Drosophila melanogaster: one gene and its partner. The protein of the gene in region 2 interacts with the protein of the main gene of each other region in a biochemical or structural test. Each region holds a gene or a part of one and is shown on either strand. Other genes may lie near its edges.

The links.
Region 1: the proteins of dpr11 (region 2) and DIP-beta form a complex in vitro, tested with the Drosophila melanogaster proteins (one study listed by BioGRID).

The regions. Positions count from the first base shown.
Region 1 is NC_004354.4:21,451,344-21,464,024, forward strand, and holds the start of DIP-beta (Dpr-interacting protein beta), read right to left. Parts: upstream 6,396-12,681; 5' UTR 6,208-6,395; exon of another isoform or gene 6,123-6,207; intron 1-6,122.
Region 2 is NT_033777.3:6,587,376-6,600,056, forward strand, and holds the start of dpr11 (defective proboscis extension response 11), read right to left. Parts: upstream 5,956-12,681; 5' UTR 5,509-5,955; intron 1-5,508. Other genes in the region: CG1138 (uncharacterized protein), read right to left, coding at 9,689-10,561.

The DNA of each region.
Region 1 (12,681 bases), on a different chromosome or scaffold from region 2:
TCCCCGTTTTGCAATAAATACCCACCGACTGTGCGAATCAATCAATGCGAAAATGCCTTTCATGGCCCCCCAGTTAATCAACATTATACTCTTCTTTGTCTTTTTAAAGAGCCCCTAAGTTTCAATATTAATTTCGATTAAATCGACTTTAATTATGGCCAAAGCTAAGCTGTGCCTCGATGTCTGCAAATATTTGCCATCAAGTGTGAAATATCTTTGGCAAGCCATAACTGCCAAAGGGCTCATACTTACTCAATTTACTGGGAAGCCACAAGCTAAATTCGGCTTAGGCCCATACTTGAGGAAGGTACTTTAATCAGGCCAAAAATACTCGCATATGTATGTTGATACCTGCACACGCACGTCTGTATATTTATTACACTTAATATATGGCACTGCTGCCATGCATTAAGTTGTTCGCTTTCTTGTTTCGGCCTTTATTGTTGATATTCAACTGAATATTTGTGTCGACATTTTTGCGAGCGAATCTAATCAAAATTCAAGTGGCCTACCGCCAAGTACACCCCCCCCCCCCACACACACACACAGCACTCTGTGCTCTATTTGATTTTTGCCCGATGCAAATATTGTGTAAATGATCAGCTTGCTTATTGCAGCTACACATGCGAAATATGCGGGGGAAGGTGGCATGCAAGACTTTCGAAAATAGCTTAAATGGGTGTTGAAATTGTGTAAAGCGGAGAAGGGAGCCTAGATACATCGATACATCTTGTGTTTATGCAATACACTTTTCACGTTTTTCCTTTTTTCGCATGAAAAGTAGCAATTCGTGAGTGCATACGTTACTCGTAGAGTAAAAGGGTATACTAGATTCATTGAAAAGTATGTAACAGGCAGAAGGAAGCGTTTCCAACTATATAATATTTAATATACAATATATATATATATACATTCTTGATCAGGATCAATATCCGAGTCGATCTAGCCATGTCTGTCTGTCCGTATGAACGTAGAGATCTCACCGCAAGATTGTTCTACCAATGTTGCCACGTCCACTATAAATCCTTCAAACCGCACAAAATTGCCACGCCCACACTTTTGAAAAATGTATTGACATTTTTTGATTTGGAAAACAAATTTTTGCCATACCCATTCTAACCCATTTTTCAACAATTTTTAAATTTTGTCTTATTTGATATCGAAATACTAGAAAAATTTCGCGTTGCCCTTCTCAAACTAGATAAGTAACGGGTATCTGATAGTCGGGGAACTCGACCATAGCATTCTCTCTTCCGTTTCTCAACAGTACGGAAATTGAATATGAATTCGGACTAAATAGGTAACTTTCAATCTTTTTAATTAAGGTGTCAGTAAAAAAATAAGAAATTATACTCATCCTTTATCGTACTTCATGCACTATTTTGACTTAAAAATGTTTTATTATTATTGTCATTATCATTTAGTAGACTTATTTTGAAACCAATTTAGATCAAAAGTTTTGGTTTGTGGCATAAGGAGGAACATACTTGATTTTATGCTTTCAAGTCATAATTAACCCGTAGGTACAGCCTTAGTAACAATTGAGCTACGCCTTATTTAAATTTAATATTCGATTAAAAAATCCATCAAAAATGCTGTTTTATAGTTTTCACACTAGGACTAAGAGTAATATTTTACGAATATGAATTGAACAGATATTTATTTTTAAAAATCAGTACCTATGGGAGCGTTTTTCAGACATATTTTCTCGATACAGACGATATTCCGTACTGTAATCTTCAATTTAGGCATGTTATTATTTATACATACTTATTTATAAATGCCAATTGAGCATTTTGCAGAATGCATTTAAAGACAAAATTTCTATTTATTTCGAAAAAGTTCTATAGTTTGCCTATAAACGATTTACTCGAGTGCTCATCTTTACTTTTATAATGGCCAATTACTTTTGTAAATTTCAATAATATTTTTGTTTTTCGCGTGCAGACCAGATATACTTCTCATTATTTTATTCTATTGTACGTGCGCAGTTGATCTTTTCAATTTTCCTGCAACAGCTATAGTTTTTTTTTTGTATTTCCCAGAATGCATTTGCCCCCTTCTTGGCTTCTCCACCAACTCCCTTTGCTATTTACCTGTTGTCTTGCTGGCTAATTTCTGTTGTCAAATTGCCCTCGCTTTTCTATGCATTCTGTTCCTGCTCAACTACATTACGCATTCGCAGCGTGGTCTGTTGGGGAAAAGCTTTTGCCATTGCCATTTCTCGGTTTTGTTGCAGTGGCATTATTATTTTATTTTTTTTTTCACTTAAAGCAACTGAAACCGTCGCGCTCCGGCATTTCCTCTCAATTGTTTGTGCAATTTTCTTTTAATGTATGGAAAATATTTCTTTTATTATGTTGCTGCTGCCGCCGTTGTTTGCCTTTTGTTAATGTGCAAGTGCTGGTTGGTTGTGGTTTGCTTTGTTGGCCATCCAAACCTCGTCCTTAACCATTTGCTGCCCTAGCGCCAACTCTCACATGTGTAACCATTCGCCACTGATGCGTTTTTAATTGTGTTTGTTTCCGCTTCTCTGTGACACGTCATTTATTAGCACACAAAAACGGAAATCAAGCTGCTTTAAGAACTTTTTTCCTTCACTCCACCAAACATACATATATCTTCAGTGGGGTCTCGATCAATCTTGGGGTTAAATATGTATCGCAGCCTGATTTATTCGCTGACATTTTGCATTATATGCAGGAGCCATTCTCTGCTGCGTTTGCCTTCGCCGGAAAACAAAAACAAAAACAGAAAAAAAAAAATGAAACAAGCGAATGGGGTTATTTCCAACAGGATTCGGGGCGAATTGGGCAGCGGAACCGGGTCTGGACCAGAAAATAATGCTTGCGAAATTTCGTTTAATTTTCGGTTCGCGGTGGCCATTGTCGTCCTTTGTTCGACAATGTCTTTTGTTGCCGATTTTCCCCATAATAATTATTGTTCGAAATTTCATTTTGAATCAAAAAGAGGGGGTTCTGAAACCAAAATTTTGGGAAATATGATTCCATAATTTAATGTAGATTTGATTTGAACGCCTGCCAACTAATTGCAGGTAACATGAACAGTCACTTTTCCCAAAATTCATGTTCCCTTCTGTTGCACTTTGATGCCCGCATCATCAGTCAGCACTCGGATGGCTCGGACATATCCTATTTCCAAATAGCGCCGATTAAATGCCCTAGGCAGCCCGTCGTCAGTCAGTTTGCTCCTTTCGACATGGAAATCGGAGCTTCGCAATTCCGGACACAATGCAGAGTGCATCCGACTTGGAGTGTCGCAGTAAATTTTACTCGAATTTATTGTTATCACTGGGCTTCGATTGTTTGGTTACATAACCTACCTACTTATCTATTCATATGTACATAACTTGTTTCGCTTAGACCCAATAAGCCGACATTTAAATATCCTTTTAAAGTCTCAAAAGGTTCGTCAGAATCGGAGACAAAGTAGCTTGAAAAGTAAATGTATTATGAGGGCAAACTACAGTTTCAATTAGAACTCATTTTTAATTATACCCCTAAGGGCTAGGTAAATGGAGGATGTGGCATACATTATTTTGACGGTAACATTGTAATGAGTGGATGCAAACAATTTTTGGCATGTGAATGGATAGTGATAATGAAATATTCCCCTCCACCTTCAACAAGATTTAAAGCCTGAATCTGAAAAGCAGACAGGTTCTAGGCTTATGGGCGCCAAGCAAAAATGTCTTTGGCGTTCTGTAGGGGCTTGCAAGATAATTAGAAAAATAATATTTTAAAACCTTTTTTAAATTTATAATTAAGTACTCAGGTTCTTTTAAGTGACTACGTTTACTCTAAGTAACTGAGTTTATATGTGGAAGTGTTTCAAATTCATTTCTGATAATTAAATTTGGAGATCATCATATATTTCGGTTCCAATGTGAGCCAGTTCAGGGTCAGTTCAGACCAATACAAATAGTTCCATAGGCGCAGAACTCGCACACAATTCCTCTGTGCTCAGTACAAAGATCGAGAAATATTTCCAATCTCCCAGACGCAGCACAAAACCAAAGATCCCTTTTCTATTATGAATTCGGATGGATTCCATTCGGATTTTATAAGATATTAGTTGATTAACCACTAGACACGGCGGACAAGGAGTCGCGAAGCTTCTTGCCTTGGTTCCGGTTAACCAGATGGAATCGAGATGAGTCTCAGTCAAATTTCAAATTAATGCTAACTGAAGTGCATGACTTTTTTTGTGTTGACCGAGATGCCAAAATTTGGCAATGGCTTTGGGAAGTTTCGGGGAATTTCTCGACAGGCAAACAAAAAAAATTAGGTATTTCGGAAGTATGCATTGTATACATTTTGCAAAAAGGGTTCCCAAATATAATGACAAAATGTTGCACATAAATTTTGATTATTCGAGACCAATAATAAAATTAATTACGTTCCCAAAGTAAAGTTTCCCAAAAAAAAACCATTAATAAAGATTTTGGAAAATTGCGTTTACAATTTTCTCTGTGCACTTTGAAGCTTGAGATTTCCTGTGCCCAAAAAGGTCCAAATTTACATTTGCCGCATAAAGCCCTTTCATTTGCCTCTTTGCTCTTTTTGTGTGCCACTGCATACATTTTACACACTTCATTATTTAATATAAAATGCATCCTCACACGCACACCTGCGCACAAGGGAAGACAATTGCTGGGCAAGGCGATGCGAATGAGTAAAAACGTTATTTAATTAATTAATTTTCATTAAAAACACGACAAAATGCGACGGCTGGTGGGTGGGGAGCGGATGGTTGCGAACAGGGTCGCAGAGGGGCGCAGAGGGGCGTGGCTGGACGGCGCAGGACATTAAAGGACGAGCAGATGCCTGCTCCTTCCTTGTCCTGTCACGCTGGCTGTCATTTACAATTTTAATCTCGCTGTGCAGCAGTTTAGCTTAAGTTCGGACGTCGGGATAATGAGCGGCCAGGTCCGCGCTTAAGGATAATGGAGCCTGCAGCTGGACAGTACTCCCTGTCCCACTCCATCTGTAATTAAAAAATCGCGCATGCAGCCAGCACTCCCTTCACCTGGTCGAATAAGGGCCAACGACCAAGTTGGCTCACAAATTTCATGGCTAATAAATCACTTTTAATATTAATAAAACATAAATCATTGCCAACTAAAAACTTGGCCTGCTAGTTGGATGCTGCAGTCTCATTTTGGCGCCTTTTGTTCGATGGCAAAAAGTTTCGGAGGAGTCTTCCAGAAAAGGTACCTCAAGAATGTGCCAAACTGGTGGCGGATGGCGAGGGATGAGCGAGAGATTGAATGGGGTTTTAAAGTTCAGGTGGGTGAAAGTTCTTGAAGGAAATCAGAAACACAAAAAGGGTTCAAAGCAATACATGGATACCGGATTTAAAATAAAATTGAATTCGGATCGTCTTACAAACCACTAAAAAAGATATTGAAAACCTTACTTAATTTTTGCAATGTGTAATGTATGCTATCATATTATATAAAATATATAATTACAAACAATTAAAAACGAAAAGAACACAAGCTGACAGTTTTATAATTATGTTAAACAATTTATCAAATCGTTAGTATGCGACAAAATGTACGATATGATTTTGACCATAAAAGGTGACTACATTTTCCCCACACGAAGGTATAAAGATAGTTGTTTTTGGGAAAAAAAACTGGCAAAAGTTAATTTGCAACTTGGCAAATCAACTGTTTTATTTACTGAAAACAAGAAACGAGAATAAAGGATTCCAACGAGTGACGAGTGACTCACATAAATGCAAACAAAGAAAGTTAATGTTAGAAAACGGAAAGGACATAGAAATTCAATGAACTGAAAAGGAATTCACTCATGAACAGTCGAGAGAATTCGCAAGAAAACAACTCGATTGGTGTAACAATTGGTTGAAAGGCTGAGAAAAGAAAGGGAATGCTAACATACCACCGATAATGCAATTGACAAATGAGTGAACAAGCGTATGTGAAATGATTTAGGCAGCGATCGACGGGCAATGGAGTAAAGGACTAAACGAGGGATTGGCTTCACCTCACTAGTGTAGTAATTTCTAAATACGCAGTCACAGCTCACATCGTATGCTTCGCGAAAAACTTTTGAATTTTTGGGTCTTAGAATTACCTTGTTCGAAAAAACAAGCAAAGCTTCGAAACTAGTCCAAAGCACTGGCCAACACTAAAAAAAAACTTGAAAATAATCAACTAACACTTGTCAAAAACTCTTCTCTCGACTTTCAGCTAGAGTAATTGTATCATTGTATCGTTGTTGTTTCGCGCCACTCGAAACCCGTTTTCGAAACTTTGGAATTTTTAGTTTGAAACTGAGTCCTTTCGTGTCTCGAATCCACTGGACTGAACTGAACCGACGCGCTAGGAAGTTGCCCGAGCACTGAACCTGTCGCACCAAGCGCGTTTCGCATTGGGCCGACCCAGCGCAATGTGCTCGTCCTTCGGCAGCACGGCCATCCCGATTTCCCAATTTCCCGACTTCCGATGTCCTGGCACTGTGGAGTCCCGTGTCCCGTGCCTGCCATCCCGAGGCCAGCCGAAATGCTTCCGAAGGACGAGCTCGTGTGGCGGACGAAGGCGTCAGTGCTTGTCCTCTGGCAACATGTTGCCAGCAACATTTAGAAGCTGGTAAATTTACTAGAGCAATTGCCTTAACTTAAAACGCAGAGATCTGCATAAGTGGTTAGTTTTGCCCAGTTGATTATTATTGGTTGAAAAACATTCTAAAAGAAAAGAAAAACGAGTTAAAGTTATACAGAAACCAATTGCTGAAATATAAAAGGCTGTATGTTTTACCAAGAGCTAGTTTTTCGGTTGTTCGCTTTCATCATTTTTCAAATGGGATATAACATTGTTAGCTGTTTTGGAATACATATAGAATTTATATCAGCCGACTTTTGACGATATTTTAAGCCTTACCTTGTGCAAAAAATTAGGAAAAGTCAAAGAAAGACGAAAGCATATTGAAAATAAATCGAACGTTAGAAAATATATCTTTATTTTGCTTGATCACTTTTTAAAACATATTAATTAAATTTCCAAAAAAAGATTTTAATGAATGCGACTATCGGATATTTATTAATCACCTAAGGACTGTGCAAGGGAGATGGAAAGGTGGAAGCAAGCAGAAGTCTCAATAGACTTAACTTTTACTTAATTTACTTTACATAGGTTGCAATAGTTCGATTAAGGCAGTTTTTGTTGTTGAAAAAATAGGAACATTTTAGCTAGACATTAACGACAACTGTAACTATAACGTTTGAAGATAACTTGTAAGACTAGTCACTAGTTTTTATACACTTCCTTCTGCTTCTGTTACATACATACTTGTCAACGACTCCAGATTGCATTGTTTCTTAGCTAGGTTAGGTAACAAAACTTGTTTTGAGCACATCATCTTATTTTATTTATTTATTTAACAAAATTAAATATAGTATACAATACTAAACCTAATTAAATTTAATGAGTACTAGCTACGGGGGCCTTCGACTCGAGACTTATGGGTTAATTGCTTTATATAATAAACTTAGCTTTTTGGACAAATTTGTAAATTTTTGAGATATTTTCACAGGATGGGATACTTAAACAATTCGAGAGACTATGTGTACCAAATAAGTGAGATCTAATTGAGTGCAATTGACTGCAGGCGTTGAGAATATGGTCAACGGTGAGCTCGTCCCCGCATAGTTGGCATGTTGGTCGCGCCGATCTCGTCAGTAAGTGTTGATGTGTGGATTGGGTGTGCCCGATGCGTAGACGGATAAAGGTCGCGCATTCCCGTTTATGTACGTTCGTTGGTGGCTTGAACATGATGCAATTCGGATTGATAGACTGGTACCTGTGCATGAAGAGTGCCCATTCGGAGAGTTTCCTTTCTTTGAGGTATAACTTGATTCGACTTTTTAGGTCCTTGGAGTTAAACGGAGTGAACAGGATTGATGGTGTAAGCCTCATCTCTTGGGCGGCTTTGTCAGCAAGTTCATTCCCATGAATACCTTGATGACTGGGAACCCAGAGTAAGGTGATTTTTTTTGGGTGAGAACTTAGAATGTGCCTAACTTCTTGTGTTGTGGGGTCATTATGGTTCCAGTTGCGTATAGCGGAAAGAGAGGAGAGGCTGTCTGTGCAGATAACAGATTTTCCAGCGTTTTTGGAAGCGAATTGGCATGCTTTGAGAATGGCGAAAGCTTCGGCTGTAAATATGGAGTTGTAGGACGGAAGCCTACCTCCTGCAATTATTTTACGGTTAGAGTCAACGACCGCAAAAGTAGTTGCGCCGGTGACTTTAGAACCATCGGTGTAGATCCAGTTTTTCACACCAAGATCTTCTTGTGCGCTCATAAAACGTTTTTGGTATTCTAGGCGACCTGTATCCTTTTTGGCAGCATTGTATATTTGAAGGTTTATGTTAGGCTGTTTGGAACCCCAAAGTGCTGGCGATTTGAAGGGCCTCCTGGGCTTAGGCAGGGGAAGGTCAAGTAGCTTGATGTAGTTGGCGCAACGTCTTAGGGTGGATATGCACTTGAATTTCCGTTTTTGTTTAAATATGGCTCCGAAGTCTTTGGTTAGCAGGCAGTTTGACGTGGTGTACAGCTTCGGGATAAGCATCAATGTAGTTTCTTCTACGCGTGATTGGATACTCGGGAGACCCGATTCTGCCAATGTGCACGCTACTGGAGATGTGGGAAATGCGTGAATGGCGCGACGGACCGCTCCGTGATATGGGACTTGTAGCTTTTTTAAGTGTGATTTAGCACACCAACCGAAGATTGGCAGTCCGTAGTCAATTTTAGATAGCATTAAAGCGCGCGTAATATCTATGAGAGTCTTAATATGTATGTAAGAATATTTAGATGATAGAAATTTAATAATGTTAAATCTAGTTTCCAGTTGTTTTCTTAGAGTCTGACAGTGCTGTTTAAAAAGTAGTTTGGAGTCGAAGGTTATCCCCAAGATTTTTAAAAAATTTACATCTTTTATTGTGCGGCTGTTAAAGACAATGTCGGAAAGGTTGCAACGTTGTTTCCGACAGATATGTAAAGTTTGGCATTTTTCAATGGCAAGAGAGGCCCCAGAGGTTGCTCCCCACGAGTTAATTTCTTGCAATATTTCTAAGAATTTTTCTCTAACTGTGTTAATATTTTTTATTTTAGTAAAGATTATTGCGTCGTCTGCGTATAGTGAGATGTAAATATCTTTATGCCGAGTTACAATGTCATTTATGTCTTCAATAGCTATCATAAATAAAACCACCGAAAGTGGCGAACCCTGCGGGATTCCATTGTGTAAAATGTGGGAGTTCGATGTGACATTGTTTATTCGAACCCTGAAGGACCGATTGGTCATGAAGGCTTTAATAAGGTTATAAAGCCTAGGACCAATGCCCCAGCGCTCGAGTCTGCAAAGTACGGCGTGAATCCCCACGCGATCGAAGGCTCTTTCAAAATCCGTCGCCAAGATAGAGACGTGATTTTTGGTCGAAAGAGCGTTCGACGCGAAGTGTTGGATACGCAATAACGCGTCCATCGTGCTATGATTACTTTTAAAGGCAACTTGATTATGGGAAATTAGGTTGTGGCGTTTAATGAACCAGGTAAGTCTTTGTGCTATTATTTTTTCTAGTGTTTTTCCCAGACAGGATAACAGAGAGATTGGACGGTAGCTGTTAATATCGGAAGGGGGTTTGTTAGGTTTTGATATAGGGATAATGATAGCCGATCTCCATGTATGTGGGTATTTTCCAGTGGTTAATATTTGATTAAAAATGTCTAAAAGTTTTGTTTTTAGGTGGGGAGATAGGTTTTTGAGCATAGGGTATGATACTCTGTCAGCCCCAGGGCTTTTCCCTTTTGCTTTTGCTACTGAATTTTCTATTTCGAGCAATGTGAAATTGGAATCTAAGGATGTAGCCGATGGGGAAAGTGAGTCGATGGCATAGGGCTCTGAAAGATACCGATTTTTTACTCGTATATATTCTGCTGAAAAATTTTGGTCAGAAGAGTATTTAGACCAAGATAAGGCAAACTCTTCGGCGATATCAAATGATCCAGTTAGGGTACCCGAGTTGGATTTGATATATTTGAACGGAGTGGGAGGGATGCCGGCTAGGCGTTTTATATCTGACCAGACCTTTTTTGTGGAGGATACTGGGGAGATTTTGGAAGTAAATTTTTCAAGGGAGTTACGCTTGGCCGAAAGTACAGCTTTTTTGAAAAGCGCGTTTGCTTTTTTGTATCGGATAAGGTTTGTATCATTCGTATTGGCTTTGTAGGACGAGAACAAGCGTTGCTTTTGGTCCCTAAGCTGTTGAAGGATAGCGTTCCACCATGGCACCTTGGCTTTGTGGATCACCCTTTTCGTTTGGGGAATGCTATAGTTTGCAGCTGAACGTATGACTTTCGTCATTTGTGCGACTTGCTGATTTAGGCAACCGACCGTCCAATATGCTGCTGATTTTTCGCAACTTTCGTTAAAGCGTTTCCAGTTCGCTTGGTCTGTCTTGTATTTAGGCAGGGGTAAAGTGTTATCGGGACGGGTAGGTGTGTTTATGTGGATGGTTATGGGAAAGTGGTCACTTCCATGGAGATTATCTGATATAGACCAGCTGCACATATGGGCTATCTGTGGAGATATCAGTGAGATATCAATGTGGGTGAACGTATTGTGAGTTGAAAGGTGAGTCGGGGAACCGTCGTTAAGAACAATTAGGCTGTTTTCAAGAATTACGGTTTCAATTTTTTTACCCCTTGTATTTGTGCGAGGTGAACCCCATAAAGGACTCCATGAGTTAAGATCACCCAGGAGTATTGTGGATCCGTTAAGATTTTGAAGAATTTCTGATATGTCAGAAGATGAAAAAATTTGACTTGGTGGGATGTACGCATTAACAATATTAATGACCTGTTCAAAATTAAGCTGCAGTGCGGAGCAGAGTATGCTGGAGTTAATGTTACGGTATGTATGTGGGACATTCCTTTTAATAAGAACACCAATGCCTTGTTTGGCTGAGGTGTTATAAGAAAAATTGTGGAAGTAACCACTATATTCTTTGGGGCAAATAAAATTTGTAGAATTACATGGAAGGTTGGTTTCCTGCAAAAATACAATATCGGGTGCATGGTCTTTTATGAGTAGTGTCAGTTCGTTGTAATTATTAAAAATGCCGTGGATGTTCCATTGTAATATAGTAATTGTCATGATTAAAAATTTTTTTTTTTTTATTTATTGTTTTTTGTTGGACTGTTATTAATTTGTGGTGTGTGTATATGAAGGTAAGGGTGAGAGGATCAGGACTAGGAATCGGGATCGTCCATAGTGTCTGAGTCTGTTGTGTTGATTTTTGTTTGTAGATTTGAGGTTTGTGAAGCAATTGATTCGTTTGAGTTGGATCTTGAGGTCATTAACGTATTGTTGTCGTCGTTGTAGGTTTGTCCTAATAGAGCGTTTGCTTCCGCCCTAAGGGAGCGAGATCGTTCGATGCATGTTTTTTTTAGGTAAGAGAAATCAGTTTTGTCAGAGGTGCTTGGGGAGGAAGTAAGATTCTCTTCGAGATTCAAAGAGTTCGTCCGAGAAGTGGGATACGTTGGTGAGAGCGGAGCTGGTACTTTTGTCGAGCTGGTGGGCAAGTCGGTGTTTGTAATCGTGTTAGGGTTTCGGGGTTTTTTGACAAGCATCACGGATGATGTGCTTTGGTTTGCGACGGTCGAGTAGGTAAGCGTGGGGTTATTTGTTGTGTTTTGTTGTTGTTTTAGTATAGTGCGAGCTTCATGGAAACTGCATTTTTTGCTTGTTTTGATGTGGAGCAGTTGTTTTTGTGTTTGGTATTGTGGGCATTCGGGTGAGGAGGCTGGATGTTGGCCGGTGCAGTTTGCACAGAAAATGCGAGTGCATGGCACGGGAAGGTGGGGAGCGAGATTGCATGATACACAGGCAGGTGGGTTTTTGCAGTGCTTTGATGTGTGTCCTAATAATTGACAAGACTTACATCTCATCGGGTTGGGTATATATTCTGACACCTTAACTGTGTGCCAGGAAACCGTTAGTTTACTGGGAAGAGTGAAACGGTCGAACGTTACGAGAACTTTTCCAAAAGGTTTGGGGGTGCCGTCGATCATTTTGGTAAATTTAAATACGCTGTGTACATTTTGTGATTTTAGTTCCTCAACAATTTCGTTTTCTGGAATGTTAATAAGACAGGGAGCGTAAATGGTGCCTTTGACAAAGTTAAGAGTGTTGTGGAGCTTGCACTCGATATCGCATAAGCCAGGTAAGGAAGTCACTTTGATAAATTTGTCACTAATTTCCCTGGAGTTAACCAGCAAGAGAAGGTTACCATCCCGAAGATTAGAGATGGATGTAATGTCTTTGCTGATATACTTAAGGGCTCTATGGACAGCAAAGCAGTTGTAGTCGGATATGGTTTTCGGAGAGTTTTTTGATGAGACCACTAAATATCTCGGATTTTTGCACTGCGTTTCAGGGAGGTCTGGGAAATCAACTTGTAATTTTTGAAAGGGTCTTTTTTTCTTAGCTTTGGGGCTAACGCTGAGACTGGCAAAGCGATTATCCCCCAAATTGAGTGGCCCGGGGGCCATGGTTAATAAATTTATGGATATTGAATGTTTTTGATTTGCACGTACGCGTTGATAAGAAGATCAAGAAGATAAGATGAT
Region 2 (12,681 bases):
AACTCTGCTAGTATAGGTCAAATCGGATGGTTTTAAGCCAAATAAGTGAGCAAAGCCATTTAATTTATTTTATAATTCATTTGTATTTGTAAAAAGTGGTAAAGAAGATTATTTTCAAATGCCGGCAAGTTAAATTTTAATGAATTAAATATTTGTCTAGTTTGTTTTTCTCTTTGGACGGCGAAGCCACCGAAATTATAGAGTTTGATTTGACCAATTATAGAGTTCGTAAAAAGCGGGCTATCATGAAACATATTACGTTAGAAGTGCATCGCATAAACACAGAAAAAGTTTCTTCTGAAATATTTTCGAGAATTCCGATTTACCCACTGTGCAACAACTTTTTTTATACATTTGAACGATTGTTTTTCCCGCCCTAACGTGGGGAGGGTATTCCACAACTTTTTGCTACTTTATGCTGTGCAGATACAATGGACAGCGAGAGACATTTAAAATTTTCGTCGAGCAGAGTACATAATTTGTTTAATGGTGATATATTGTCTGGCTGTGGCTCTAACAAATGGTAAAAAATAGCAAATTCTTGTCCTTTCTTTTTTCGTGGGCAATGTGCATTATTCTTTGTGGCCCACATTATACACTCGGTGTGTGTGAGCTAGAAATTCCTTTTACTTGGCTCAGTTTTTTTGAGCTACCACTTTCCAATTGGCTCGCTTTTGCCACAACTTTTGCTAATTTTTCAGGTTTCATTTGTCAGGGATTCGGTGATGTGACCATTTTACCGTGGCCCATTTAGCAGCACTTCCTGGCTTCATGTGTTTAATTAAAATAGTTTTTGTTGTCATTTAATGCGCTCAACTAATTTTCAGTTTGGTTCGACAGTTAAATATGCTGCAACTTTTTATGCCTGAGAGAATTTCAGTGCGACGACGGACAAATGAGGATGGGTAATTAATGTGAAAAATTAAATGACGCATATTTTCCGCAATCAGAGCAAAATGTGGCTAGCAGAATTCATGGCTAATCTAAACATGATTTAAATAATTTAAAATATTCTCTTTTTCGTAATATGGGTATTGAAAGAGTAATTTGAATTAAATTTACAAGCTCTCAAAAAACATAATGAGGCGAGCCGGGCTCTTGACTTGCAAACAAGAAATGCGAATAAATAAATTACGCCAAAACCCACATATATTGAAATAAAATTTGTTTGGATTCCGGCCGGGATCTGGTCCGCAAATTAAAACAAAGGCAACAGCTTGAAAACGAATATTCGGCTGCGCGGTGTTGGAGCGTACGGAAAATGAAATTAATATTAAACAATGCGTGACATTTTTTGCAACAAAGCAGAGAGGCCACGAGTCCGTTTTGCAGGATATATGGAAGCAACAACCGCACCTCGTTAAAATTGTATGCCAAAATGGCTGCATACATGTGTGGCCCAAACAAAAAGCCAACAAGAAGCCGCTTCGAAAAGTTAAACAACCAAACATGGCCAAAAAAATATAGGGAAAAAGAAACACAATATAACGAAACAAAAGGAGCAAAGGAAAGCCCCGATGGAAAATTAAAAATTCAATTTGGCACAAGCCTTGGAATAGACGTTTTTTTTTTGGATTTCATTTGGTGAAATCAAATACGATGAAAAAAAAACGCTGAACTCGAAAGACTAAAGTATCGCGGCTAATTGAAACCCTTAAATTTGAATATTAATCAATGTCACATATGCCAAGTAGCCTAGCCAGTACTAAATGTGTGACAAATGAAATATTTAAATAAATTTCAGACCCGCAAACATTTTGACGTTTTTCGCACTGACAAAGTGCCGCAAAAAGTTGCAAATTGTGGTTATTGTGGGTACAACACAAAAGCTCAAAAAAGACGAATAATTTCAAGCGAAACGAGCGCCCAACTCGATGACTTGCATTTGGGAATGCGTTAAAGTTTTAAATTCGGAAAAAGTTGTTACCCAACACGGGCGCTGTGAAAAACTTTCGAATCATTATCGTCATGGCGATGATGATGAAAGGCATTGGGGACACTGGATGGTCGGCCTTTTTTGCAGCATTTGGAACGGAAGTGATTTCATCAAATATTCATATTAACTAATTGGATTTGATGCCAGTTTGCATATTTTGTGTGTGTCCTTCGTAGCGGATATTGCCCGTCGAGCTCATCAGGCCGCCCTTCCGTTAGGGACACTCGTAATTTAATACACACTGTTTATTTTAAATTAAAAATTTATTTACCCACATGTCAATGAGCCTTTTGAAACCCGACTGCGTTTTCCGACCAAATGCTTACCTGCAAATGCTTACCTAAAAAGGAGAGAAATAAATAAATCTGTGTTAGAGCGAGCGAAAATGCTTTCTTATTTGCTTTTCTAGCTTACACTGTAATAGAAATAATAAAAAAGTGCGTCCCCTTTTATTTAAGTTTTTGTACGAGGCAATTATTCAACTATAATAACAAATGCCAAAGAAAGCAAAGAACAGTATTTAATTTTGGTATATTTGGCAGGTTAACTAGTGTTGGACAGGTTAGTAGAAACTACCAAGAAGTAAGAAATTATCAACTCTACTGAAACTTTTCATATTTCTGGAAACAGCTCAAAGGACTACTCTCCACCTTCCCTCCCCTTTTTTGGCAAACTTGGCAAGAGAGGGGAACTCTAATTCCAGCCTTTTCATTAGCATTCAAGGCGGGCAGCGTTTTCCCAGCAGAAGCGTTGAATAAAATAACAAACATGGCGAGCGGCGAAGAAAAACAAACCTTCAAAAGGCGGTTGGGGTAAAACAAGGCGAAAATGTGTCAGTTAAAGTGGCGTATACACAACATGTGGGCGAAAGCAATGAACTCCGCGGAAAACTTGGCTCGGCTCTTGACTGAACTCTTTTGGGCCAACACTTCGCCCTTTTCCATTAGTTGCACGCTCCAAAAAAGAGCGAAGAAAACGTGGCGAATATTGCGAAATATTAAAAACGAGGAAAATATAGAAAACTCTGCTGTGCCAGTGGCAGGGTGAACGGAGGGGATGAAGTGGCGCAGAGCGGGGCCGCAAAAAGAGCTACAAAATAGCATAGAAAATTAATAATCGCGCAATTTTTGCGCCAGTAAACAATGAGAAAGTCTTGGCTCGTTAGTTTCCTCATTATTCTGAATTTTCAACTTGCTCTATCTGCCTCCACGAGAATTTCCCCGCTCCTCTGTGAACTTTTCTTTGTGTCCTGCCTCTTGCAGTTCCAGTCCAAATCCCTGAAAAGGACAAAACGCAACGCGCCACTGAAAATGGAACGTCGACAGACGAGCCTCGAGGTTGTGGGTTTGGGTTTTGGGCTTGCTCTAGCTACTGGGATTTCACTGGGCTGGCTGAGACAACTGTCTGACAAGATGGAGAACGCGATTTTACCGGAAAAATAATGAAAAAAGCGATTTAATATCATTTTTCATAGCAACAAATTCACAAGTCGCGTCTGCCACTTCTAGTCCCTTTTTTCTATCCTTTTAAGTGCACGGCAAATGAGCTGTTGTAGCTAAAAAGTTCATGGAACCTTAATGGATTTCAGATTTGTCATATTTCAGAGACAGGAAACTAATGAAAAAAAAGCCGATTGGCCTAAAATTGGCGCGAGAATTTTAGAAAAACATATTGCCAAACATATCAATAACAAATTTAAAATTATGTTTGTGTCATAGAAATAATTGTAAAATAAGATAAATATTACTGTATAATATAAAAGTTGTATTTTCAGAAAACAAGGATAATTTGAATTAAGAGAAACCCTTAAATAACCCTTGTAATCAGAGAATTGAAGTCTAAACTATCGAGGTAACGATATTGAATCTAATAATAGGTTCCATGCAATTTAATTGGATCCAATTTTCACCCTGTTGTATGTACTTTCCGAGCACATTTTCATACCTATTTGGCCACTCACAAAGAATCTTTATTAACAGATGGCCAAGTTTATTTAATCAGACAACCTATTTTCGAGTCCCGCAGACAGAGGACGAGTGGACCGAATTTAAAAGGCAGTCATGCAAATGATACCGACCTGATAGGGAGAGCCACAATTCCCATCGAGGCTGCTGACCAGCGGAGTACAACCGAAAATAGGGAAACAAAATCAAATTACAAGCGGGCAAAAAGGGCAAAGGGCAAAAGGCAAGCGACCAACAAGTTTTCCTGGGTGTCGACTCGAATTCGCATTGGAGGCGAAACGACAACTAAATTATTAATGCACAATGAACTTGAAGCGAGACCAGCTCGGCGAGCGGCAAACCAGAAAATATGGCCAGTGAAAAGTTGAAAAATATATGTACGTGTGGAAAGTGGGTATATGGGCGAATGCAAATGACATTAACTTGGTCGAGAGTAGGGCAAGGACAAGGGCAACCAGCAGCGGTGTAAGAGAATGCAAAAAATGGGGAAAATTATAATACGTGGACAAATTGCGTACAGGACAGCAAGTCCTGCTCACTCTTTGTTCTCCTTGCTGTCATTTTACTTTGCATTTTAAATCAACATTTGATTTTTAGTCGCATTCCGGCCATCCTACTCATGTTTCTTTTATTTGATATGCATTAAAAACTTTTCAACTTATTTATATAATTTTTCATGGGAATTTCACCTTTTGAAGTTCGGATATGAAATGCGTAATGATTTTTTCATTGCTGTTAAATAAACAATTGAGCGAGCGGGGGAGTTGCCAAACTTTTCCACCTGGGGATGATACCACAGCCCCGAGGACCTCTCATTTATTATACACTCAGCCGGATGAGAAGGCACCCAAAGCCGGTTGCGTGTATAGGTCTAATCAAATTCTGTCATTTAATTTGGGCATAAAGGTTAAATGGCTAAGAAATCCACTGGGGTGACCATTAGCTATTTAATTTATGGCCAAAGTCTCAATACAGGCAAAAATAATCATAAATCTTTGGGTAATGTAATGTGAATGTTATCCTTTCACTTTTATTTAATGATCCTTACGGTCTAAGCCTTTCGAAACATTTGTTAATTCTCTAACATTTGTGCTTAACTATTGAAAGGCCTGACAACAATTTTATTATAATTTTGAATTTAAAGAAAAGGAGTTAAAAATAGAACCCAGTAATTCATGCAATAACAATTAACTATTCTAAACAATTCTGTACAAACAATTCAAAAACAAACACCTGTCACTTGAAGATGATGCTTATTTTCAAAGAAGTAAATTTGCTTTTAAAATCTGTAGTCAATTAAGAAGAATAAAACCCAATCAAACCAAATCCTATTTTTATTAAATTCAATTTATTTATAAGCCCAATTCATAATATTGTTTATAAATAGGAGACTAATTGTATTAAATAATCTGCTGATAAAGGTTGTTAGCCCCCCTAAATAACCAATCTTTGTTTATTTATCCATATTTGGAAAGGGCTATGGTTATTGGCCCATCATCCGCATAGCTCTGTCCTCATGGCCCATAAGCTGCTTAACTATTTTAGTTTTCAGCGTGAGAGGGTACTATTTTATTTTCCATATGCAGCGGGGATTTGGAGTTGACTCACCTATGTGCAATTTTTCAATAAATACCCGGACTGGCGGCCTCAGAAAAAGATATCCAAAACACGTGACAGATTTGTCTGGATTACATACGCATTATACACACACACACACAGGCCGAACCTCACTACCTCACAGCCACCGCACCACACACCAGCGAGTGCGTGTGAGAATATCTATGGATTAACTTCAAATGAGACGCACAATTCAATGATGGTTTTGTTGTTACTTCTGTTGGTATCCTTGAGGATGCACTGCGAGAACGTCGCCCGGGTCGCGTATTACAAATCAAGCATACGCCAGGGCACCACACATCACATCAAGCATACGCCACCGAGACGCACCACCGACGCACTAGAGTCACGGCTTAAGTCACAGTCACAGTTTTGGGTCACTCTCACTGACAGCAACGGTACACACTGAGCGGTAAGCACAACTGAAGCCCACGACAACGGCATTCGAAGTGGCGACGGGTAATTTCAGCAGTCACGACAACCCCGCAAAAGCTCGGCCAACTCGCGGGAAAAGCCGAGCCAGCTAGCTCGGAAAACGGCGGTCTAAGAGACTCGAACTCTCTTTGGAAGAGAGTCCTTTGGGTGCGACTGCCGGCGGACATGCGCAGTGGGGTATTCACCAACCGGCCAACTGGCCCACTGGCTCTTCCAGTGCCTTACTTTTTCCCATGGATATGTCCCAAAAACAAACAGCAACAGCTGTTCCGCTGCCGGAGAAGACCCAAAAAAGCTGTCCTCCTTGTTGTCGGCTTGCTCTGACGCACTCTCACGATACTTCTCGATTTCTGGCTATATGTGTGCGGCGCTTGGCGTGTCTTAGGTCAGAAACGTCGGCCTCCGAAGTGGGTGAGGGTATGGGTGTGATGGAAGAACCTTTCCCGGTGCCGGCAGAATTTTTAATTATGATAAATGCTCATTCATAAAAATGAGTGGCATACATTTGCGTTGCGTGTTTATTTTTATACTTCGCATATTTGGTATATTCTGCATAATTATTATTGCCATTATATATCCCCTTTTTTACATCTCCACTGTCTTATTTAGCGCTTTCCTTTTGTTTTTATTGTTTCTTTTTTGTTTTGCTGTCAGTAATTTGTTAGCTCCATCTTTGATGGTTTCTCCCCTTCTGTTTGCACTTGACAGCCCAAGATTTATGCGACTGCAGTTGGTGGTGATTGCTGGGGAATTGGTTAGTGGGATGCGGAAATGGTGGGTGTTAAGTGGCTAGGAATAGGGGATGGGCCCCTGATGATCGACTGCCGTCTGCAGGTGTTGATGGCTCCGATGTGCCTCAATCACCATCAGCGTCGGTTAATAAAATCACAGGACGACATTTGATGAATGGTTGCAATTCTTGCCTGTGACATTTTTGAGGGGCAACCGATTATTCGACTATTAACCAAACACAGGCCAGCAAATATTTGCTGGAGCAATATTATTTAATAATATCGTTAATTAATTGTTATAAAATAATTTTATATTTTTATATTATAAATATATATGTATATCTCAATGGAAAGACAGCCCCGATTGGAACACCCTTCAAAAAACCTCGAATGAATTCCCGTATTAAGTAAAGGCTTTATGCCTACAAAGCATTGTTACGAATAAGATTGGTGAATGTAAGGTCCAAGCGACTCCGTCTCAATGCAATGTCCGACCACTCGACAAAAACCAAATTGACCAAAGTTAATTTAACCACTGTAAACAAGCCGGGACTCAAGTGCCCGGGCACTTGAAATGCTTCGCTGGCCACGAGCAGAGAATAAGGTGCAAAAATGGACTGATCGGGGGAAGAAAGGGAATGGGAATCGGGAGGGGTGCTGCAACATACGTATTCGTATACGTACTGTACTGAAAATCAATTGAAGCGCCAACAAACGCTTCAATCAATTTTACTTTGGCAAACATTGAGTGCAAAATAAATCACAGCAACGACTCGAGACGGTGGCGGACTCAGTACTCCCAGAACCCAGGATATCCGACCAGGGAAGGGAGGAACATGGGATCCTGCCGCCCGCCCACTGTGCTCATCCTTGTGTTTATCTTATTTATGCAAAGCTGTGGCAAACACCAACAATAACAAGCCAGGATGTGCGGCGAAGGCAGCTAAAAAATGAATGAATTCAATGAAATCTGGGTAAAAAGGCTGGGGAACAGGAACTATGCAACGAGAGAGACGGAAGAAGAGTGCAAAAACTGCAACAAACCGATGGGCGATGTGTGAGTGGGTTTGTGTGAGGACATCATGCTTCTTAGAGGCACATCAAACATCTCAAACGGAATGAATAATTTATAGACGCAAAAGACGGGAGGAAGAGACAGTCGCGTAAGCCATCTGCACTGCGATTTCTCATACACGCAAGGGCGTAGATAGCCGTACTTTCGGGGGTGCATATCATGGTTATAGCGAGGTTAAAAACGTATATTGTGAAATTCATATTGAAAAAAGCGTTATGCATAAACATCTCTTAGCCTAGAACTATGCGAAAAATACGAAATTGGTATAGGTAAGCTAATTTAAGCTCTAAATCAATAAGCATTAATATAATTTAGCCAAACTTATAGTCTGAGCACAGAAATGCGGTTGGTTAAGATACAAAAATCAAAGAACTGAAAGAAAAGATGTCCTAAGGTGTTCCTAAGCACCCCTGTTCAAACGACCTGGGTGCGCCCCTGCATGCGAAGGCATCTCTCCGGCAGCCACGCATTAGTTGGCACACACCTTCCATTCATGGACTTCAATGCGACTGACGAAATAAAATGGCAATGGCAATAGCAATGCCAATGCAGAATGTAAATGCCAGCCCGAAGTGCTCGGGATAACTTTGCATTTATTTTCATTTTTGCACCGGCACTCGCTGTGAAGTATGCAGCATAATTCCCGCAAAAGGAAACTTATTTGGAGCACAAAGCAGCCAAGTGTCAGGGATGCACTTGCAGCATTCCGTATTTACGGAAAAGTCAGGTTTATGTTCCGATTGCCGTACAGCCAGCAGTCCAAATGCGATTAGCGCGTTATCAAATTCGCGTTCTGCCCCACTTTGAATCCAACTTATGTACGATACCAGCCGCGTCAAACGAAAAGTTTAAATAAATGACTGCAAAAACTTTGCTAATCTGACGGAAAACAAGCGTATTCTGCCAAAAAGCAGCGCAGTTGACTTTGATGCTGGTTAGACCGCACTGAAATTCGTCAATTTTCGAAATGCCACCGAAGAAATCAAGGCGCAACAACAGCCTCGTGGTAAATATTAATTTAACTTTGCACATTAGCGGAGCAATGACACTTGACTGCGGAGAACCTGTGGCACCACATCTCGTTGGAAACTGGCCACAAATGTTGGTGGAACACTAAACCCAAACCGCCCCCCGTAGCACCTAAACAACCAACCCCCCCCCCCTCCCAGGGGAGGTAAACCACAGTTATTTGTCTATTTGCCTATGCGAAATTTGATGCGCTGTCTGCTTGTGCTTTTTTTCTCATGGTGGCGATGCTCGCTCGCTGTGTCTCTGCTGTTCTGGTCCTCATTATCGTAAATTTTTATGCTAAATACATTTCGTTGTTGGACCCAAAGATACAAACACCAAAACCGAAAGCGACAAAAGAAAATCCTGACCCTGGGCGTCAGAATTGGGATGCTCTTTTAAAAATGGACCCAAATTAAAGAGGACAGTTCACCCTTAATAAGTAGTAAGAATGCAAAAAAAGTATTGAAAGAAATGATATTTAATGTAAATATATTTAAAACGTAATAGATACAATTTCTTACATATATCAGTTGCGTACAAAATATATATACATATATGTATATACATATAGAAATTATAACATTTTTATATTATTTTTCTTTTTTGGCCTACAGGATGCCGAAACACATCGCATGTAAGAAAATACATGCTCTTCCTAGTCAAATGTACATTAGGGTACCACCATTTGTGGCAGATGCCGTCCCGTGGATGCGACTCCTCCGATGACCAACATAATCAAGGAATTCGCATATGGAGGGCCGGCCCGTGGATCCTGACAAATTGAACAATTTAAAGAGGGCTTTGTGGGTTTATTGTGGACGAGCTAAGTAGGTCTGTGTGCCGGTGATACAAGAGCTTGGGCGGCTCGTGGTGCCGCCTTGAAGTAAGCCGAATCGGAGTTCGAAAAAATATAAAAGTATTAAAGGTCTGAACGAATGGATACACAGGAATTTTTCACGTTCTGGAAGATTTCACATTTTTTGTTATTTATCACGCTTGAAAGATAATCTTGCAAATTTTCCGCGGCTGTTTTTAAAGAGATTGTCACCCTAGCGGCTTCCTTCCGAAAAGGTTTGTATTCACTCTTTAACATCTGCTTTTTAAGTTGAGTTGTTATCATCTCATTACTTTTTTCTATAAATTCATAGAACTCCCTGCCAGTATACTTATCTTGGTCCAAGAACCTAAACCGTTGAAGACATAGTCCTTGATGTTTTTCGAATTTGAGCTTAAAGGAGTCTAGTTTTTGAATTTCAATCTGCAACTGATCCCCTAATTTCTTGCTTCTGCAGTATTCATCCCGTACCAGTTTTTTGGCCAGATTGGATGATCTTCGGACGGATTGCATCTGAGTCAGTTGGTGCTGTAGTTTATGGCTTGCAAACTTCAGCTGAAGAATTTCGGGATGAACTTCCTTTACATTTGTCAAAAATATATGATCATCCAGGCAGGGATCTATTTTTGGGCATTCCGGTATATTGGTACCTAGTTGGTAATTGAGTCGATTTACGCGCCGCTTTAAGCGAAACACCTCATCGTAAATATCTTCGAGTTCCAGATTGCTTTTCTCGTTTGATTCTTCTAGAACTTCCTCAGCGATCCAGCAATCTTCGGATTGCAAAACACTCTGCATCGTGCAGTGAAACACTTTTTTTGGCCCGTTATGTTTGAATGCGAACTTTGATTGTGCCAGTTTCTTATCATTTGGTTTAGTGTTTTCCATTTTACTTATTCCTGCTGCCTTGCACGATAAATTTTGGTCCACTGATTGCAGTATTGGTAATGAATTCATCTTGAATTCATTCCTCCAAATTAACCAATATCCAATTAACTGTGAACTTCAAAACGGAAACTAACTCGGTACACAACGAGCACTTCCAGTGTTTTCAAATCATCTAACACAAATCTCAATGAAGGCTTAGATAAAATATCGTATATATCGATCTATCTATGGGTTTGTTCGATCTTTTAGTTGGGTACGTGCAATTATTATATCCTTTTTCAAAGCGTCCCTTAATTTGTAGTTTTAACTACAACTAATGCAGTCTTCAACGCAGATATATACGCAATATATAAAAATGTTATCGGCAAGAAAATCCACTGAAAAATTTGCTCAACTCCCATTCACGGAATTTCAAATCCTAACAAAAAGCCTGCTTAATGTGAATTTAAAATACCAAAATGAAGACGGAAAAAGTTGGGATACTATACTGTCCCAAATAAAATAGCAAAAACATAAACTTATTTATATATAAATACAATTATAAGGAAAATACATACTTATGTTGTTATTTAAGCCAGGTTCTAGACACTCTGAACTCCAAAAATGTAAGAAGAGTTTGGATGCAGTGTGCACTCAATGGGTAAGCTCACATTATTGAATAGATTTTGCGGAAGGCAGAAGCTTTCCTTTTCACTGAATGACAGCGGAAAATGAAGTGAAATCTAATTAAAACCCTTTGCTAAAATCACAATTGTCAGCGAAAGCTCACGCACACCTGCTCGCAAAACTCACGAGCACACAAACACTGACACAGACAGATGGACAGACACCGGCGATTCCCATACGCAAACAAATAGAGGATCCGATTCTGAGCCCGAGTGGGGCGGTCCTGGCAGGTGAAAAACAGACGTCAGCTGTCCAACTACCCGAATGCGGAATCTGGTGAAAACAGTGCAAAAGTTTTGACCAGAAATAAAAGAAAGGCGAACTGTACTCGGCTTTGGAAGCCACCACCACTTAGTGATGCCAAAGAGAACCTGTGTTTGTAAGATTATTACTAGGAAAACCAAACTTGAATAATACCAATAAATATACAGGAAAGACAGGACAAATCCAATTTATGTTACATGTTTTGGATGTCTACATCACCCATGAAACTCCGCGAATCTAGCCATTAGTTAAATGGCTTAATAAAAATTGTTTATGTTTATTAGGGTAAATCATTGACAGTTTCATAATTTGATTGTAAATGATGGTAATCGGTAGCTTACAATAAGCTGGCTCACCTTTTTTTTTAAGATTTCTTAGGATAGGTAAGTGCCATCTCTGATTTGAATCTAGATGCCACGGGGTGAGGGGCACATAACCTCCAGGAGCGAATAAAACGCGCTGTTGCACACGAAAAATAACAAGCTGCGTTGGTCAATTCATCGAATGTCGGTCAGGGCTGCCGCCAGGGAGAAATGGATTGGGCAATGGGCACTGGGCAATGGGAAGCAGGAGCCCGGAGGTGGGTAAGACCACCTGGGCGGAGGTCCATGCAGGGGGCGACATAAAAGTTTCACACCCAGCCATTTGGCCATCAGTGTCCAACAGAGCCGTTGGGCCGGAGTTGCTGTGTTTGAATTAAAAGAAATTAGTTTAGTTATGCCAATGCTCCCCGGGCTACGCTATTGAGTTATCGGCCAGGCAGGAGTGGGACAACTTGGTGCCGGTGACAGGAGGCAACTCGGATGGATAAATTGCAAGTTTTCCCTTACAATTTTGAGTGTGTGCTGCTTGTCCTTGCGTGCCTGGAATTTCAGAAAAAATAAACGCTTTGCGTGTTGCTCTTCTGATGTCGTTTAACCATTATGTGGCATGAATTTGCCATTTTCATTTAAATGCTGCTCTTGGCAGCGAGTCAACTCGTTGGCTTTTTAGCGACTGTTCTGCATTCATAAGCAGCAATCGTATATATCCTGCGGAATGTACTGAAATTGTTGTTGGATTTAGGTCTAAATGTATACAAAACTAGTATTCTTATTTGTTAAGCCCTGAATAAATTTAATTTTTAAATTGCATAAATTGCAGTGCAGTGAAATCATCTGTAATACCCATAGTACCAAAAACCTTATTTTTGTGAATGATTTTGTGTTGCGTACAAAACCTAGATTTCACGCTGATCATTTCCATTCCTAAGTTTTGAA